Caenorhabditis elegans: one gene and its partners. The protein of the gene in region 3 interacts with the protein of the main gene of each other region in a pairwise test. Each region holds a gene or a part of one and is shown on either strand. Other genes may lie near its edges. The genes, in order: mdt-29, glp-1 and sel-8.

Region 1 (7,973 bases), about 10 Mb from region 3:
TAATACAAGATAGAAAAACAGGTCAACGTAGGAATCTAACACTTAATGTAGTGGACATTTCAAACTTTGAATATATACATTATTTTTTTCAGATAAATATAACTGGAAATATCGAAGATCTCACAAAAGATGTGGAAAAGCTCACCGAAATTCCCAGCGATGAGCTGGAAGTGGTTTTCTGTGGGAAAAAGTTATCAAAATCAACGATTATGAGGGATTTGTCACTGACACCTGCAACGTAGGTCAAGTAAATATTTACTTATATAAATAACTGGAATTGTTATTTATATAAATAACTGGAATTGTTATTCAAATAATATTATTTCAGACAAATCATGCTTCTCCGTCCAAAGTTCAATAGTCACAACGAAAACGGTGCTACTACTGCAAAAATAACAACAGATTCTTCAATTCTCGGAAGCTTCTACGTGTGGTGCAAAAATTGTGACGACGTCAAGCGCGGCAAACTGCGGGTTTATTGCCAAAAATGCTCGTCAACCTCTGTTCTAGTCAAATCTGAACCCCAGAACTGGTCCGACGTTCTCAAAAGCAAGAGAATACCGGCGGTCTGCGAAGAATGCTGTACTCCAGGTCTTTTCGCTGAATTCAAGTTCAAATGTCTAGCCTGCAACGATCCGGCCGCAGCTCTAACTCACGTACGCGGAAATTGGCAAATGACCGAGTGCTGTGTTTGTGATGGGAAGGAGAAAGTGATCTTCGACCTCGGATGCAATCATATTACATGCCAATTCTGTTTCAGAGTGAGTAAGAATCTAAATTTTTTGTTGAAATTGTTTAATTTTAAAGGATTATTTGCTAAGTCAACTGGAACGATTCGGTTTTGTCAATCAGCCGCCGCATGGCTTCACCATTTTCTGCCCCTATCCAGGGTGCAATAGTTCGTTCGATTTTATCAAAACCATTCAATTTTCTGCAGTAGTGATCCTGAAAACTAATTGATAGAAACAAAAAATCTTCCAAAAAATACAAATATGTTATGTTTCCATTTTGCAAGTCTGGCATGGTTTTTTTTTTGCAAAAAAAACCCCCACCCGTTCTATTTAAATTTATTTTGAAAATTTTCTCACATGTTTCAATAGTTTTTCAATGCCGAGAAAATTGAAAAAAAAAGTTTTAAAGAAATTAAACAGAACATTTAATTGAAAAATAACTTCAGGAGTGGTACAAGATGTGCACCATTTCCACATTATGGGTCAGACGTCGTACAGCGAATACCAACGGAAAGCCACCGAGCGATTGATTGCCGTGGACGACAAGGGTGTGACTTGCCCGAATGTCTCGTGTGGGCAGAGCTTCTTCTGGGAGCCCTATGATGACGATGGAAGATCCCAGTGTCCAGATTGTTTTTTTTCGTTTTGCAGGTATTTTGAGCTTCTAAATCGGAAATTTTATCGCAATAAATATCATCGTTCAGAAAGTGCTTCGAAAGAAATTGTGTGTGCCAGAGCGAAGACGATCTCACCCGAACTACAATTGACGCGACTACAAGGTGATCTCAGCGATTATCCACTACAAAAAACTGTAAATTCTTCCAGAAGATGCCCAAAATGCCACGTGGCAACCGAACGGAACGGCGGATGTGCTCACATTCACTGTACCTCGTGTGGAATGGATTGGTGTTTCAAGTGCAAGACAGAATGGAAGGAAGAGTGTCAATGGGACCATTGGTTTAATTAATAACTCTCTAAAATTCATCTTTTCTAGAGATTGTACGTGTTATTCTGTAGATTTTTACAACAATTACGGTGTGTCTGAAGTTACATTGACATTTTTTCTCTTCAAATTTTAGATCTTTTTCTCAATTTTTGTTGCTGAGTATTTCGCTCATTTCATACCTTTTTTTAAATGTTTTGCCAAATTTCAAAGAACACATTTCTCGCAGGGATCTCCATAGACATGTCAGGACAAGGACCTCCACCAAGTATGACGCCGCAGCAACAACATGTAAGATTTTTTGTGCTTTTGAACTTGAGAGTAAATTTTAGTGAATTTGAGCACATTTTACAACCTTTTTCGGAAAAATTTCACACTTTTCTACGGCTTCATCCTTAAAACAATTGAAGTCAAAAAATGTCTTTTTTTTAATTTTGGGAACAAAAAAAATTAATGAAAATGTACAATCACACCAACATGGAAACATTTCTTGAGCTTCGGGATATATCTCAGTTTTGGAGTGGGCTGAAAATTATTTTTTTCATGAAAATTAAAAAAACAACTTTTTCATGAAAACAAAACTCACCGCATTTTTTAACTGAAATTTGAAAATTTCTCACTCAAATATCCTTTAAAGTTTCATTTTAAGACGTTTTCAGAGCTTTTTTAAAACCATATAACCAAATTTTAAACTAGGAATAAAAAGATTATAAAATAAAAACATTTCAGATGTTAATGCAGCAGCAACAGCAGCAACAAATGATGCGGCAGCAACAAATGCAGCAACAACAAATGCAGCAGCAACGTCAACAGCAAATACAACAACAGGCTCAACAGGTAGTAATATACCGTCCAATTTATCGAAAATTTGAAATAGCACTTTCTGATAAATTTTTTAACGTAAAATTAAAATATTTTATGATTTTTTCCGCAAATTTCTGATCGAAATTTTTTAAAACATTAAATTAAACAGATTTAGCGTATTTTATCGCTAAAACTAAAGAAATTTGATAGGAAACATACCATTTCGGTTTTTTTAAATAGTAAATAATAACACTACGATACAAATAAAAAGCGCTTAAACATATATTATTCGGTACTTGTGTATTATACCCCCGCCATTTTAAAAATTAATTTTTTAGCTTATAAAATAAAAACGTGTGGAATTTTAGGCTTAGGAAAACACCATTCCTAAGCCTAACAAGGAAAATGGGTATCACGTTTAATTTAAACGGATAAATTAATGGAAATTTAATTAATTTCTAAAATGGCGGGGGTATAATACACAAGTACCTATTATTCTGTAAAATATCGATTTACCACAATTTTCAGCCATACCAACGAGCTCGAACTCCACAAATGGTACCACAAGGAGGCTCGCCGGGAGGTGCTCATCTCCAAATGCATCCTCATCTTCAACCACAAGGACAAATGCAACCGAGAAGCCCTCTAGTTGGAGCACAGCTTCAGGCTCCCTCGTCGGTGCCCACTGCCGCAAATCCGACCACTCCACAGATGATGCAACAGCAAATGGGCATGAATGTACGGGGAGATTTCTGATAAAACTTAGAACTATTGAAAAAATATTTGGAAAAAATTCAAAAAGGGGAAATTAGTGAGAGTTGGAAATTCGTGTTTTTGGAATTTTCATTTTCTTTTCTTTTTTTTGTGGTATTTCAGCATATGGAATGTTCCTAGTATTTTAAAACTGAAAGTAAATCCCCATTTTCCGAACTCTACTTTCATTCAAATTTCCGATTATTTTGTTCAGAATTTTTGTTGGAAATTAAAAAAAAACCAATCTAAAACAATTGGCCGTTCAAACATAAATCTCCAAATAAAAGTAATTTGTGACAATCTTTTTTAGCTGAAAAAAAAATGTAATTTCAGCAACCAATGTCTCTTCCGCCAACACACGTCTCACGTCCAGGCTCAGTTGCTCCGCCGTCGTCGGTTCCCGTCAATTTACAACACACATCTGGTGCACCCGGGCTCCCGGGCTCACAAATGGAGCATCAGTACCCAATGCATTTGCAGCCACAACAGCAGACATTATCAAGGCCGGGGTCTCAGCAAAGTCAACATATTCAACAACCCGGAAGCATTCAAAGACCTGGATCGGTAAATTTTCGGATTTTATTGAAAAATTTTAAAAAAACAGAGAAGAAATATACAGTGCTTCACATAATGATACGGCCACCCCCAAATTTTGGTATAACTCAAAACTGGGTTGAGATAGCAAAACATAGTTTCTTGTGAAAATGTTCGCTGTACTGGCTAACTTTCAGATAAGTATTGGAAATATACCTGAACCGTTCGTAAAAAAAGATAAACCATTTTTTCATGAAAAACCATATAAAAAAATCCACAAAATGATACGGCCACCCTTGGTTTTTGTTTTCTTTTTTCGTTTTTTTTGCAATTTTTTTTGCTAAACGTTAGGTTTCATGTTCGTTTGTGTTTTTACAGCTATGGGTCGTGGAATAACTTTAACTGACTACGAAAAAGGACAAATTGTGCAAAATTATCTCAAGGCTTCTCGGATCGTCAGATTTTTCGTGATTTGAAACGTTTGAGAGATATGATCACTCGATATGCTTCAAATCCTGCCGCTTATTGCACCAAAAAGTCTTCTGGTCGCCCACCACTCCTTTCTGGTAGAGACAAGCGAAAAATCGTTCGTCGAGCATTCAATTGAACAGTGACTTGCTCGAAAAGTAGGAGCGAGATGAACCTGCCAGTGTCTGTTGAGACCGTACGTCGTGTCCTTCGAAGTCCCAGTTTATCAAAAGACGAAAATTAATAAAGGCTAATTTCATTACCGAAAAACACGGCCAAAATCTTATTCAGTTTGCTAAAATCAGCCAGAGAACTAACTGGAGACAAGTGAGGATTACGGTATGATCATTCAATCTCATGTTTTGGTCTCAGATCATCTTCAGTGGCGAGAAAAAGTTTAACTGTGATGGTCCTGATGGCTACCATGATTACTGGCACGATTTGAGAAAAGAAAAGATGAACTGAAACCAAAACATGAGATTGAATGATCATACCGTAATCCTCACTTGTCTCCAGTTAGTTCTCTGGCTGATTTTAGCAAACTGAATAAGATTTTGGCCGTGTTTTTCGGTAATGAAATTAGCCTTTATTAATTTTCGTCTTTTGATAAACTGGGACTTCGAAGGACACGACGTACGGTCTCAACAGACACTGGCAGGTTCATCTCGCTCCTACTTTTCGAGCAAGTCACTGTTCAATTGAATGCTCGACGAACGATTTTTCGCTTGTCTCTACCAGAAAGGAGTGGTGGGCGACCAGAAGACTTTTTGGTGCAATAAGCGGCAGGATTTGAAGCATATCGAGTGATCATATCTCTCAAACGTTTCAAATCACGAAAAATCTGACGATCCGAGAAGCCTTGAGATAATTTTGCACAATTTGTCCTTTTTCGTAGTCAGTTAAAGTTATTCCACGACCCATAGCTGTAAAAACACAAACGAACATGAAACCTAACGTTTAGCAAAAAAAATTGCAAAAAAACGAAAAAAGAAAACAAAAACGAAAAAAGAAAACAAAAACCAAGGGTGGCCGTATCATTTTGTGGATTTTTTTATATGGTTTTTCATGAAAAAATGGTTTATCTTTTTTTACGAACGGTTCAGGTATATTTCCAATACTTATCTGAAAGTTAGCCAGTACAGCGAACATTTTCACAAGAAACTATGTTTTGCTATCTCAACCCAGTTTTGAGTTATACCAAAATTTGGGGGTGGCCGTATCATTATGTGGAGCACTGTATTTATAAACATTTTTAAAAAATTATTCGAAAATTCTAAAAATTTTTAGAAATTTCTCGAATATTCCCGTATTTTAGGAGTAAAAAAAGGTTCTTTTTTGAGATTTTTCAAACGAAATAGTGAAAAAATTTCAATGATAAACAGGAAAAAATCTTCTTTTTTTGAAAAAATTGTATTTCTTAAATAAAAATTACTTTATTTGGCATTTCAAGTGAAAGTTTGATTTTTTTTCAAATTAAAATTTTTATACAAAAAAAAATTCCAAAAAAGTTCAACATTAAATTTCAATGATTTGAAAAATAAAAATAACATTTTTTCGAAAATTTAGAAAACAAAAACCTCTCAAAATTTTCAGGTTCTAGCTCCAGGTTCAATACCTCCCGGCGGGCCAGCTTCCCAAACAGGACCCCAATCGATTCAAGTCTTCGGACCCGGCTCCGTGCAGCCACCAGGCTCAACACAGGCTCCGTCCTCAGTCCAACCGGCTTCCACATTCAATCCAGGCTCGATTCAGGCTCCGGCAAGCCAGCAGCCGCCTGCATCAGTTCAACCACCGCCATCTGCAGCGTCGGGCTCAACTGTGGCCGGTGCGCAGAGCTCCAAAGAGCCGCTGAAACCGAATGAGGAGCAAATTCGAATGGTTCAGGATCCTGTGGATTTGGTTCGAAATTTGGTGCAAAAGGATCTCAGAAATTCGTTGGTGGTAAGCTTTACAATTTTTGTTGGAATTTTGAAGAATAGAAAAAACTAAAGGTTTGAATAAAATTGAATGTTTAGGAAAGAATATGTAAGAAAAATTTATTTCAAATTTTTTTTTTCAAAGCATCAATTATTTTGGTCAAACAAAGAAAAAGAAAAATTCACTTTTAATGGCTTTTCAGAAAAAAAAAATTGTTTTGAAATTTTTGACATATTTAGCTGTTGTTTAAAAATTGTTTGTTGTTTAAAAAGTTGTTGTTTTTTAAAAAGAAAAAATCGAAAAAAAACCTCATCGAAAAAAAGAAAGTATTTTGACTTGAAAACAGAGAAATGAAATTTCCATGTTTTTCTTGAATAAAAAACCATTTTTATATCTTTATTCGATTATTTCAGATTTTTACATAATCAATTAATTTTTTGATTACAAAATCGAATAAATAAATTCAGGAAATGAACAAACGCGGTGCGGAGCTTGTGCGTCAGAAACAAGAAGGAGAAGTGAACGAGGATGGAAAAGCTCAGTACAGCAGAGCCACGAACGATTTTCATGCGGTTTGCGATGAAATTGACCGTACTTTGACGACAGTATTGGAGACAGCGAAACAATTGAGCAAACTTGACAAAGTGTTCTTTGATCGGAGCTCTCGAGATCTCGACGGGGAGGTTATGGTCAATTCTGTGCAGAATTTTGTGGATAATACTGAAATTGTAAGCAGGGTTCAGGCTAAAATTGTGTTTTGGTAGATGTTTGGACACTAACAAATATTCGTTGCGAAGGAGGATCGTTGAAAAAAGTCAAACTTTCCTAATTTTTCAGGTACAAAGAATGTTCGACGACACAATTGGAAGTGTGACGTCTTCAATGGAAAGTATGCGAAGACGACAGAAGAAATGGGAGGATCAACACAAAAATGATGACGTCGAAATGATGGAGTAAATATTAGTTATTTAATGATTGTTCTATTGTTCTCAAATACAAAAAAGCGTTACATTTCTGTAAAATAAAAAAGATAATTTGCATCTATTTCAGAAAATCATTTTCTCAATGTTAAATCTTATTTTTCTTAATTTCTTGTGTGTTTTCATCGCTCAATTATCGTTTTTCTCTGAGAATTGATTTTCCAATGTAAAATGAGAGATCTTCTTGTTTAAAAATAATAATAAAAATCACTTACTTCTCTGAAATATGCGTTTTAATCTCTCAAAAAAATTGAGATTTGTCCGTTTTTCATTAATTCAGACAGTTTTCCGGTAAATCTACTTTTACACCATTTGAAAAGGGAAATACCAAATTATTAAAACAGCATAAAACAAATTTAAAAAATTTCTTCAGTTATTTTCGGTCTATCTTTTTGTCATTAAAATAGTTTTTTTCCAAAAAATGAATTTCACATTTTTAAAGAAAAAATTTGAATTGAGTCAGATTTTTAAGTACGATAATTTTTTATTAGAAAAAAACTAATTTTGAGAAGAAAATAGATATGTAAATGGTTTAAAATGTGTACTTTAAAATGTGAAATTTAAAATTATTACACGGCCCGGCAAGTGGTACATCCATGCAAATGCGCTCTACTGATAATTTGAGTGTAGACCAGGTTTGGGCGCGTGATAACGAAAAAAGCTTTGGTCCAAAAAATTTAGAATTTAATTTCGGACATTTTTTATATGCATCACAAAAAAGCTGGACCAACCGTTTTTGAGATACACGCGCCCAAACGTCCAGGTATACGGTAGACAAATTGCGTACAGGTACCACTTCTCGGGCCGTGTATTATATGACCTCAAAAATTCTGAGAATGCGTA
Region 2 (7,800 bases), 5.5 Mb from region 3:
AGCCTTCAAGCATCGAATTGCCTCTGTTGTAATGACATCTTCCGGTTTTCCTCTGACATTGGCAGCAAGCCAGTGCAGAACTCGTCGTCTATACTTTGAATCCACTTGATTGACTGACTCATTTGTGATTGGAGCTGTAATCGCATCTGGTCCTGCAGCTTGAACATGGAGAGGGCTGAAAGAAACATAACAATAATTATAATAAAACTATAAAGATTCACTCACATTTCGTCGGCTGGTAGATCAGCTGGTGCGAACGTCTCAGATTGAAAGTCAAAGTTCAATTCGTTGTAATCACCGGGATATCCATTTGCGAGAGTTTGTGGATAAATCTGTGAATATTGTTCTCCATTGTAGCCGGTACTATAATCGCTACAGTGTCTCTTGGTATTGGGGTGATAGTAGGCAGAATTGTCAAGAAGAGAGCACTGACTCGAATGATTTGACTGATTCCGACGACCTTTCTCGTTCGTTGATTCCATCGGAGGCATCCAGACTGTTGCGTTCACCATTTTTCTTTTTCTACTTCTTTCTGGACCATTCTTTGCGATAACACCAGCGACAACAGTTCCAAAAGCCAAAAATGCAATACATGCAAACAGAATAACTTGACTGCGAGACCATCCTTCATCGATTTCGTTTCTCTTTGGAACAGCTACCATTGCTTCCGTAATTGGGAGACCCAGAGACATACGACCCTGAAAATGTTTTAATTATTATTTTCCATAACTCAAACAATTAAAGGTTCACCGCTTTTTGGCTCGAAATATACTATAAAATTTTTCTAATTTTTAAAAATTATATTTGGTCATTTTATCACCATAAAAATAGATTTTAAGCCCCACCAGTGCTGGGACTTTTTGATATTTTGACGAAAAATTGTTTTTTTGGTTTTGGATTCAAAAACTAATTTTCTGTACTTCAAACATTTTTTTATGTTTTACAAATATTTTTAGCAAAACGCGGATGATTTTCTTCTAAAAAGTGAAAAGTGAACCGGAAATCTACCTTTTTGGATTTTTCACAAATTTAATTTTTTTTGTTATTTCGGTCCAAATTATTTTGTTTCCAGCCCGGTGCCGTACTCCACATAAAAATAACTTACATCAGACTTCACAAGTCCAGCAGCAATCAAATCAACGACACTTTGCGCTGTTGAAAATCGGCAAAACTCGGGTTTACATATTTCTTCGACTTCCAAATACAAGACAATTCCAGTGACAACAGCTTGCCGATACCTGCGAACGTGATGCGAAAGTACAAATTGATCTTCGAGCTTGCTACTATTCATCTCAACTCTTTCCATTTCATGTTCACCATCCCATCTGAATACAAGAGGTCCAAGTTCATCCCGTTGAATACGTACGGTTGCTCGAAGATTTGCACTGATTTGCATTAGTGTTTCTCCTCCGGTAGCTTGGAATTCAATAGGATCAATTTGAACTTTTATACGAATATCACTGAGGATTATTGCTTCTGTTCCGTTATTGCAATCTCCACCGTCAAAACCACATCCAATGAAACTGCATTCTAAATTACAAACTCCATCGCCTCGTCTTTCAATACAATGTTTCCGAATATGAGCTGGGCATCGAAATAACTCTGATTGACAGTCCAATCCATCGTAAAGACATTCTTCATTATTGCATTCCTGATTACAGACTCCATTTGCGAATTGATCAGCACATCTTGCAGGGTATTGACATTTGGAGAATGGTCTTTGCCCTCCTGAGCAATCACCTCCATCAAAATTACATTCTTCCAAATTGCATTCCGGGTTGCAAATACCATTGGAAGCAAGATCCATACACTTTCGTTGCTCGCATAGATCACGAATGACACTGAAATGTTCACATTTAATACCTTGAATACAAATTTTGAAGGAATTTTATCTTCATCGTCATTATACTCCAAGTGGCTCAAAAAAATAATTCCAAATAAATCATGGCAGTTCAAATCTTGGAAAAAGACAGCCTTATTTTAGCTAAAGAAATTTTATTTAACACCTTCCCCGTGTCACACAAACCGAAGCTGGCAAAATTAGAGATTTGAGCTAAAATTAGGTATTTATTTCATTGAAACCGCTTTTTACTTCAATAAATTATTTTTCTGGGCTGCATTCTTTATAGTATCCAAGAAAACTAACGTCTCTTTTGATTTCTCGATAACTAGAACTTCTTCACAAGTGGGTCCAGTGTATCCATATTGGCATTCGCAATATCCAGTATTCTTACAAACTCCTCCGTTCTTGCATGGATGTCTGGAGCATAACTGTCTATCCTTTATTTCGCAGTAATCTCCAGAGAATCCGTTGGGGCAGTTACATCTGATAACGCCATTCACACCTTCACAAGTACCTCCGTTAGCACATGTAGTTGGAGTGCACACTGAAGTTTGTTGATATTAAGAATGCTGCCTAGTAATCTTGAGCTAAAAATACGGTATCAGGTCTCGCCACGACAAAAATTTTGTTAAATGCGAAAAAATGTGCGCTCCTAAAGAGTACTGTAGTTTAAAAACTCTCCTTGCTCCGGGATTGCCATTGATTTTTCAAAATTTAAGTCTGTGTAGTCTATGTAGATTTGATGTTAAAAAGCTGAAAAATTGATGAAAATTTCACCGTTTGAAACTACAGTACTCTTTAAAGGCGCGTTTGTCGTATATAAAAATAAAATTTTCGAACTTACACAAATGTTGCTCGCAGTTCAATCCATAGAATCCAAGCGGACAATGACATGAATATCCACTGTTTTTGAGATCGATACAAGTCGCATTATTCACACACGGATTGTATTTGCATGACTGAATATCTGGGAACTTGAAATCTTTCCTATTAATCTCACATCGATCTCCAATATAATCAGGTTCACAGACACAGAAACCATTTATACATCTTCCATCGTTGTAACACGTTCCATTGCTCCGAGAGCAGTGTGGTCTCTGTAGTGGAAGATCACAATGAATTCCCCCGAATCCTGAAGGACACTCAATCTCACATCGTTGTCCAGTGAATCCTTGTTCGCAATAACAAATTGGCATCTGATTCGAGTCATGGGCACAGTATCCATCATTTTGGCAAACGTAATCCTTGCACATGTCGATAGCCTCCTCGCAATACTTTCCAGCGTATCCAGGTTTACAGGTACAAGTAAAATCACCGTGCAAATTGAAACATGTAGAGTTGTTAACACACGTTTCTTCGATGAGGCATTCGTTTTTATCCTTATTGCAAAATTCTCCCTCGTATCCCGAGTCGCATACACATCTGAAGTTCTTGTCTTCATCTCTGTTCGGAATACATCTTCCATGATTGCAAATGTTTCCCATCAAAGCACATTCAGTTCGTTCACAATATCGACCGGATTTTCCAATTGGGCAATCACAGTAATAGTTGTATACACTATTGACACACGTTGAACCTTCTGCGCATTCATTTTGAGCACAATGATCGATTCCTTCTTCACAATACGATCCTCCATATCCATTGTTGCATATGCACTGAAATCCACCATAGAATGGATAGCAGAGTCCGTTGTTGCAAGGATCCGAATCGCATGGATTTACTCCCGAAAATAGAGGAGTTTTGCAGTCAGGACCTGAAAATATTAATGTATTAATCACGGATAGGCCTTTGTCTTCTTTTTAAAAAAAGTGGAATTTAAATTCAAATTCCGGCGGAAGTTTGTTTTTCCTAATAGCCATTCACACCTCATTACCCCCAACCGCCGATTATTTCCTTTGAGATGAGAAAGGTGTCAATCTCATTACGGTAAAATAGAGAAAAAGAACACGCAATATTTTGATTTATTTGAGATCAAATCGGTTCCGACAACAGATGGAAAAAGTTATCACAGTGGGAGACTTGGATCTCGCGCATTTCTTATTAGAATATGTTAAATTAAATTAAATATATTTAATTTATTTTTTACTATATTTTTTAAAATCTGATAATTTCATTGGTCCTTTGTGTTTTCGAAAAATATAAAATTGAAAAAAAAACAATTTTGCAACTTTTTAAAAATTAAAATAGCTGTCAATTGTTGCTCAAAACAACAATAATTGTGATACAAAGTCATTGACTATTAGTAATCATACATTATCCAAACTTTACTCACCTCCATAGCCTTCTTCACAGCCTTTTTGAGTACGTTCTGTTGGAGGAGTCTCGTCTTCGCAATCTGAATAATAAAACTTATAAATATTTTCTCATGGCTGTCTGTGTAACAACATCTGCTTGATTTATACTACTGCCCCCGCGCAATGAAACCGAACATTTGCAATAAATCGCATGACAAAGGCGATGAAGATGTGCGAATATGACCTAGTAGAAGCTATCTATCACTAGCGGTCATTTTGAGAGCGTAGAAATGAAAAATAGGATACCACGAATGCGGTACAATTTGTCAATGTTGGGATCTCCCGGGAGAATTATTATACGTATGGTCGCGTGTTTTCCCTAATAAGTTTTCGAAATTTTGATATATCCTGAAACAAAAAATTGCGTACAAGTCGGGCACAATCAAAGAAAAATACACTCGCAGTGTGATGATGGATGATGTGGTGAAAAAGATTGCCGCTATGAAAAAGGGCAGATGAAGAAAAAGGTGGAAGTAAAACATGGAACAAAATTTTGAATTTGAAACGTTTAAAATCTTAAAATGATTGATTAGAATACACTTGAATCGAGATAAAGTATTTATCAAACTATGCAAAAAGGCGATAATTTGATTTAAAGATTTGAGAAGTCCCATTATGAAAATAGGTCGTTTCGGGCAAAATATTATGATATTTAACAGATTTTAGGATTCACAAAATTACCTTGACAGATACACGTCGGATTTTCACCATAAACATCGTAGATGCACTTCTCGCCTCGTTTACAATCCAAATCGCATTCACGTTCACAGAAAGCACCTCCGAATCCTTTTTTGCAACTGTAAATTTGATTAAATTATTTTTAAACTGAAAAGTAATTCAATTGAGACAATTTATGACTGTGGGCCAGTGGTGGGTGACAATCAATAAATTACAGTATTTTTAATCAAAAATCGTGGCAAAATATATCGATTTACTTGAAAATAACAATTTTTCAGCTGATATATTCGTGAAAGTGATCAGAAAACAAATCTCGATAATTCACTCAACAACTTTCAGACAATTTTGGACCATTTTCTCACATTTTTAAGCTGAAATAAGTGTTATTTTCAGATAAATCGAGCGATTTTATGTATTTTAGAGCATCATGGCGCAATTTTCCTATCGATAAATACGTTGATACTCTCTGTATAACTAATCAAACGAGCTAGATAGTAATAAGAAAAGACAAGATTAAAGAACCGACACGCTAATCCAATTGTTTTATGAACGTCCATATAAATTCGCCGACAACCCTGGGAAGATGGCTGTAAACGGCTGTAAATTTTGCCTTTGGAACTCAAAGTTATTGATAAGAAAAATGAATTGTTTGTAGAGAAAAGGGAAAACTAAATAACAATTTTTTAGATTTCCCGAACGATTTACGAGATTTTACATTGTGACAGCCTCCTGCTGTTCATTGTGTTCCCATTCTGCAAGCCGGGTGGCGTTTAATGATGTCTTAGAGGGAAATATGGACAGTGATAATTCAACTTTCGGATATTATTCAAAATGTTCTCTACACCAAGCTTTTGTTTATCTATCGCCTGTTTCCCACCACCACCACCTGCCCAAACTTTCTTTTTTTTGTTCTTTTCGTCACGGTTCATGAGAAAGCGGATGAATAACATTGACATGGGAGAATGAAATATATGCTTACCGGCACCAGTATGTCTCAATCAGTTTTCCATTATAGCATTTTCCATTGACGGAGCAAGCACCTTCCCTTCCGCATTCTCCACCCATAAGTTGACTGGCGATTGGCGCAAAAAACGCGAGTAAAATTAGAAGAACTCGCATTGTTGTGTTCGCTGTTCGAGATTCTGTTATTATTAGTTGTTAGAGCAGCTCTTGGTGTTATTGTACATGAATCTGAAAGAAAATATGAATTAAATCAAGAGATGCGGTTAAGCGAAAAAAAAGAACACTTCAGCATTATCACAAAAGTACAAAAAAAGAACGGAGAACAGGAAAAAAACGAAAATGGAGAAGACAAGGAGCGACGAATGAAGGCCGGGTGGCATACTCCGCCCATTTTCTGAGTGTGTTGCGATTGTCTTGACACCTGAGATGGGCGGTCCAAAAAGAAGGATAACAGTACTTTTTTCGAATAGGAACACTAGAAAAAGAACTGTTAGGATAAATCGGAAAACTCATTGATTACATTATTTTATTGCCTATCCGACAGCTGCATGTTGGTTGCGAAATGTGGAGAAAACAACCAATTTATGGCCTTTCAATTGATCATTCCCGTGAAGAAGAAGTGGGGAAAACGATTTACATAAGAAAGTGAACGAAAAACTTTGTTAGAACGATAAACGGAGATTTGTTTGCAATGATTTACTTGGAACCTATTTTACGCCGTTTTCAAGCGATGAATATTCCGAAAATAATGTGATGGAGCTAAATAAACTTATTACGATCTCATTTAAAATATTAGAAATACAGAAAAATGTTCTTATCGTGTCAAAAAAAGAAAAAAAAACAAAGAAAATCATTTTAAAACTCAAAATAAATTTTGGCGCCGTGCACAGCTCGGAAGTCCGCAATTGACGACCGTACCCCTTCGCTTACCGTAGTTCTGATATTTGCTTATCTTTTTTAAATATTATTCTCAAAAACACACACAAAACTTATCTGAAGATTAAAAATACGAAAAACTGTATTCATGTTTGAATAGAAAAAAATCTACAGTATGTCTGTAAACATTATTTCAATATTCAGTCAATTCTGGAATAAACAAATTTGCTCTGCTTCTGGAAATGTTTATACAAAGAAAAAGCGTTATTGTCGGCATACAATACGGAATATAAAGGAAAACGGAAAAAGAAAACCGAAGTGCTAAATCGATAGTGATCACATAGGCGGTTTCAGAATAATCCACGTTTTCGTGCAGCAAGTCGTCCATTGTTCTCGAATTTGAACCTTCCTAAATCAGTCCGTGTTCTAATTTCCCGTACCTGGCCACATATGAACACAAATTATATTGGTAGAACATATGGAAACAAGGTACACGTGTAGTTATTGTCCGATAAAATGATAGTTTTATGACTCATAGGAAATTTGAATCTAGGAAGATTCCACGCAAAACTGTTGGTCAGATGCAATTTTTCACGATTTTTCGAAAAGATGTGCGCCTTTATGGAGTACAGTAATCCATTTCGCAATTTTCTTTGAGTTTTTCACTATATTTCTCTCGTTCACAAAGATTTTGATGGATTATATTAAATTTCTCGTTTTTGGGAGAAAAAAGTAAAAATCAAAGGCAATTTCAAAAAAAAAACCGGAAAATGGTTACTGTGCTTCTTAAAGGCGCACACCTTTCCGTCAATTTAAAATATTATGTTCGTGGCGAGATACGGGGCATACCGTATTTCTGCGTGGGAAATTGCAAAATTTTGTCAAAAAAAAATTTCTTCCAAAATAAGTTGAAAACTCTCACTGGACCGGACGTACAAAACTACATGTTTCTCCCAAAACATTGTTAATGTTGTTTCTCATACTCGAGGTTACCTAGGTATTCAAAACATTTGTACTGAAGAAAAAACATTCAGCATTCGGAAGATAAACTATAAGGTCATGTGAGAAAAGAGAAAAAGTATTGGGGATTCTGAATGTTTCCATAAAATGGGTTTTGTACAGCACAAGGAGTTAGGATTAATTTTA
Region 3 (4,934 bases):
TTTTTTCACGGAAACTAACGAAATTTTGCCGGTTTTCTAAAAAATCCAAAAAAAAATTGGATCAGAAAATTAACCATCAAAATCGATTTTTTATCTAATTTTGTTCATATTGATGATGAAAAACATAAAAATGTCATTTAAAAAGAAGAAAAATTATCATAAATTCAGCTAATTAAAAAAATCAAAAATTGAAACATCGGAAAAATAACTAATATCGAGAAACAATTTTTTTTTGATTTTCAAAAAAGGAAAACGAAAAATAGAAAATGTTTCAAGTCAATCAATTCATGAAATTTGGCATTTTTTTGTGTTGAAAAATTGAAAGAAAAATTGGAAAAATGTAGAAAAATGTTATAATTTTCTTTACTTATTTGATCATTCAAATCCATTATCCACCTTAAAAAAACCGTTTTTTTTTCAGAATTTCCAACGGCTCATTCGGACCAACAAATTCTTTCGAAGAACAAATCGAATGGACAACAAAAGGAAAACAATGGGAATATCCAATCGATAATGAGTTCAAAATGGGCGATGAATCGAATGTTTCATTCATTGATCACGTATTCTTGGAGAGACATTTACCATCATTGGGTATCCCGAAATCTGGTCCAATTGCTCATTTTATGCATTTGGTTTGTGTTGGTTTATCCAAGAATCCATATATGACAGCAGCGAAGAAGCGGGAACATTTGAAGTGGTTCGCTGATTATTTCAATACGGAAAAACAGAAATTGGTTCACAAACTTCACGAACAGGAACAGATTGCTGCTCAGAATGCTCTTTAATTTTAATTTTTTTTTAAATTTTTGTTTGAAGGTGGAGTACCGAAATTTAACCCGAATTTCGCAATGAGATGTTCTGAAAATTTCTCAAAAAAAAAATTTAGGGTGGTTCAAAAAATTTCGATGTTTTTCAGAGAAAAGCGATTTTTTGAGAAAATTTTGAAAAATTCGATTTTGTTTTTCTGAGAAAATGTAATAAATTCCGATTTTTTTCGGAGAAAATTTTTAAAAAATTCGATTTTTCCGGGAAAGTAAAAACAAATTTCAATTTTTTTTTCATAGAAAATCTGAGAATTTTTGATTTTTTCAAAGAAAATCAGAATTTTTGATTTATTTTTCAGAAAAAAACCGAAACAAAAATCAATATGCGGAATTAATTTTTAATTTTATTTCCTTTTAATGCATATTTTAGTAATATATTACGCGTTTACTCGTTGAGAGCGCACAAAATTATATAAAATTTGTGCACCCATCAATTGAAAATGTATCTAAATTAATTAAACTATGTATTAAAAGGTGTTAATTAAATAAACAACAAGTTCCGAAAGTTTTTAGGCTTTTCGGTGTAGAAAATTAGTTGAAAAATCGAATATTAGATAATTAAAATACAATTTACCAAGAAAAACGACTCTTGATAAACAATAAATTTGGAAAAAAATCGAATTTAGATTAAAAACCAAAAAAAAAACCTTAAATTGATTTTTTTGCTGAAAATACGAATTTTTCCATAACTTTGAACTGCGAAAACCTTTTTTTGAGAAATTTTCGGAACTTTTCATTATAAAATTCGAAAGTTTTGGGACATTTTGAATCTGATTTCGGTACTCTATCTTTTAATAGTGAATAGGATTTTTCTTCTTCTTTTTTTGTTTTGTTTTTTATTTCTTTAGGATTCACTTTTAATTGTTATTTATCTCTTTATCATTTTCTGTTTTTCATTGTGTACCCCCAGAGTTTTTTTTCCAACAAAATTTATCCAAAATATTTGTTTCTTGAAATTTGTTGAACAACTTGGTGGATAGATCCCCGCGAGTAAGAAATATATGAAGCGGAAAATGTATGAAAGTCTCAGAGACTCCAATTTTTGGGCTCTTTTTCAGGCATCAACTCTCATATGTGTCGATGGATGATCTCTCGGAATTCTTTGTGATTGAGGAGATGTTTATTTCGGAGCCAAGGTGCGGTTTTCTCTTTAATTTTGAATTTTCCGGGAAAAAATTTACCTAAAAATTGCCTCAATTTTACATGTTTACTCCGAAAAAATAAGCAAATTCTATGAAAATAAAAAAATAGGAAAAAATATCAAAAAAGCACAGTTTTCAGGGTTCCGTCTTATAAAAAATCCTTCTAAAAATTTCCGGCAAATCTGATATCCGGCAAACCGGCAATTTGCCGAATTTGTCAACTTCCAGTGGCTTTTGAAAAAAAAATTTCAATTGCTTTTTCGTATAGAAAACTGGATTTTACTACCTGAAAAATTGAATTTTAGATAATTAAAACTATATAATTAAAATACAATTTACCAAGAAAAACTACTCTCTTGCTAAAAAATTTTGGAAAAAAAATCGCATTTAAGAAAATTGAAATTTTTTAATTAAAATTAAATTTACCAAGAAAAATCACTCTATTGATAAAAAAAAATTTGAAAAAAATCAAATTTTGTTTAAAAAACCAAAAAAAAAATCCAGCAAAATTTGCAGCAAATAAAAATAAATTTTTTGCTGAAAATACACAATAATTTTTGATGAAAAGTTGAAATTAGCGAGAAAAATATAAAATTTTTTATACTTTTAAGATTTGTTGGTAGCAGAAAACAAAAAAATTCCACTAAAAAATGCCAAAAAATTTAAATGTTTTTTCCCGAAAAATTGCTGAAAAAATTGAATATTGTTTTGAATATTGACAAAAAAATTCAAAAGGAGAAAATAGTTTCAATTTAAAAATTTGAAATCACATACTTTTTTTTTGTAACATTTGGTGTGATTCATGATTCCCAACTTTGAAAAAAAAAACCATGAAAGTCTATAAAAAACCTCGTGTCGATTTACGCAGCTCGTGTACTCCCCGAGGATTTTCACCAATTCTTGGTGCATTTCCCATTCAAAGCGTAATTTTTGTTCTATTTAAGAAAAAGCCTGTAACATTGCCGAGAAACCTCGAAAATTGAGCTAGTTTGTCCTTCTAAAATTGGTTCTGAAAATATATTATTATTTTCTTTTTTGAGAAGTTGACCCTAGACAGTGTTCCTTGAAAACTCCTATTATCCGTATTTACACACACTTTTCCTAGAAATTTTTGAAGTAGAATTCACCCAAAAATATTCATTTTCTCTATCTAAATGCAATCTAAATTTCACCAACTTTTTCATTTTTTGTTCAATATTTCATCCATCTCCATCTCCTTCACTTCGACAGAGACAACGGAACCAATTAAAATTCGACGATGGCGCCCGTCCGGGACTAAACTGCCAAATCATTTATGTGGTCGTTGTCGCCTCTTCTCATCACGCACCTCCAATGCTTTCGTCCTTTTGACTGACTTTTTGATAACCTGTCCGCACTTTTCAGTGTAAATGTCTATGTGAGACAATTGAGTGAAATTCTTAGATGAAATTGAGAAGATTGAAATTGATTTGAACCTAAAAACTTGCATTTCATTGTGAAGTTTTTTTTTTTTTAATTTGAAGTGCTCTGCAAAATTTTGGTATTTTAATTATTTTTGCAATTTAGAAATTTCAAGCAAATTTTAATTCCGGCAATTTGCCGGTTTGCCGATTTGCCGGAAATTTTAAATTCCGGCGAATTGCCAATTTTTGTTTTTGCCGATTAGAATTGAAATTCTCATATTTCCAAAATGCAAAACCACAATTTGCCGAAACTTTTCTGCAATTGCCGTTTTTCCGGCAAATCGGCAATGTGCCGGTTTGCCAATTTGCCGGAAATTTCAATTCCGGCAATTTGCCGATTTGCCGGAAATTATTATTTCTGCCAGTTTGCCAGAAATTTTAATTTCTGCCAATTTGCCGATTTGCCGGAAATTTTCATTTCTGGCAATTTGCCGATTTGCCGGAAATTTTCATTTCTCGCAGTTTACCGGTTTACCGATTTGGCGGAAATTTTCATTTCTGCCAATTTGTCGATTTGCCGGAAATTTCAATTCCGGCAATTTGCCGATTTGCCGGAAATTATCATTTCTGCCAGTTTGCCAGAAATTTTAATTTCTGCCAATTTGCCGATTTGCCGTGAAAAATCGTTTCCCATCCACCCCTGCCTCGAATCTCTGCAATTTCCAGAATCTTCTTTCTAATGCTCTAGATTTTATCTCAAGTCCTCTGGTTCCACCTGTGACCTCTATAATTACCGGCTGCCAATAACTGGCTCAGTTCCAGGAATATTCATTCCAAAAAAAGAGGCATTGTGTCATAATTGCACACACCTGCAACTCGCTTTTTTTTGGATTCGTCCATTTTTGTAATGTGAAAAACTTTTTTTTTTCAAGTTGAAAATGAAGGACACCTGGCTATCGTATCCATATTTGTAGGTTTTAGTAGTCAGAACTCTCCATCGGTCAGATTAACCAATTTTTTGAAAGAATTGTAATTTTACAATTCTAAATTTTCAATTAATTCTGCCATGGTTTGTACAATTAAATTGCTATAAAAATTTAGATTTTCAAAGTTTTGTAGAGACATCAGTTAACAATTTTTCGATAACGTAAAAGATATCTGAGTAGCAAGCTTCACTTGGTGTGAGAGTGTCCCATTTCGGGTTGATCTACTTAGATCTACGAGAATTGCGGAAATTTAGACGAAGACTTCTCAACTTTTCATTTCACAGTGCTGACGTGAAGTTTGAGCCACCGAGCAGTCTAACTGAAGTTTTTTTGGGATTCTATCAGATCCAACAGTTCATACAATGCTTTTTCTCAGGATATAGCAAGTTATGTTCTCTATTTTGCACAGTAACTTTTTCTCCAGATCTAGACTTTCCAGACCATTTTCCAACATCAAAAGTACCCGAATCTTCCCTGTGTATGCCAATTGAGTTGATCCGGTTAATACCTCCTTCTCGGCAATTTCATCTTCTTCTTCGATTATGACGGCCCTTTTTGGAGGGTGTACCACACACATACACAAACACGTGCAGGTGTCGT

The links.
Region 1: the proteins of sel-8 (region 3) and mdt-29 interact in a two-hybrid assay, tested with the Caenorhabditis elegans proteins (one study listed by BioGRID).
Region 2: the proteins of sel-8 (region 3) and glp-1 interact in a two-hybrid assay, tested with the Caenorhabditis elegans proteins (one study listed by BioGRID).

The regions. Positions count from the first base shown.
Region 1 is NC_003281.10:13,771,553-13,779,525, forward strand, and holds mdt-29 (Mediator of RNA polymerase II transcription subunit 29), read left to right. Parts: upstream 1-1,903; 5' UTR 1,904-1,917; coding exon 1,918-1,965; intron 1,966-2,403; coding exon 2,404-2,511; intron 2,512-3,006; coding exon 3,007-3,216; intron 3,217-3,564; coding exon 3,565-3,795; intron 3,796-5,826; coding exon 5,827-6,174; intron 6,175-6,617; coding exon 6,618-6,878; intron 6,879-6,987; coding exon 6,988-7,107; 3' UTR 7,108-7,356; downstream 7,357-7,973. Other genes in the region: pdr-1 (E3 ubiquitin-protein ligase parkin), read left to right, coding at 1-47, 93-238, 329-761, 808-898, 1,178-1,382, 1,436-1,510, 1,557-1,698.
Region 2 is NC_003281.10:9,090,447-9,098,246, reverse strand, and holds the start of glp-1 (glp-1/Notch intracellular domain), read right to left. Parts: upstream 6,007-7,800; 5' UTR 5,935-6,006; coding exon 5,795-5,934; intron 4,935-5,794; coding exon 4,819-4,934; intron 4,179-4,818; coding exon 4,116-4,178; intron 3,597-4,115; coding exon 2,688-3,596; intron 2,388-2,687; coding exon 2,147-2,387; intron 1,842-2,146; coding exon 1,106-1,841; intron 699-1,105; coding exon 226-698; intron 176-225; coding exon 1-175. UniProt on the Caenorhabditis elegans protein: Essential signaling protein which has a major role in germline and embryonic development; involved in cell fate decisions that require cell-cell interactions. Probable membrane-bound receptor for putative ligands lag-2 and apx-1.
Region 3 is NC_003281.10:3,624,091-3,629,024, reverse strand, and holds the start of sel-8 (Protein lag-3), read left to right. Parts: upstream 1-1,882; 5' UTR 1,883-1,904; coding exon 1,905-1,960; intron 1,961-4,934. Other genes in the region: mrps-31 (Small ribosomal subunit protein mS31), read left to right, coding at 422-785. UniProt on the Caenorhabditis elegans protein: glp-1/Notch and lin-12/Notch proteins promote signaling by recruiting lag-3 to target promoters, where it functions as a transcriptional activator, probably as part of a complex with a Notch intracellular domain (NICD) and the transcription regulator lag-1.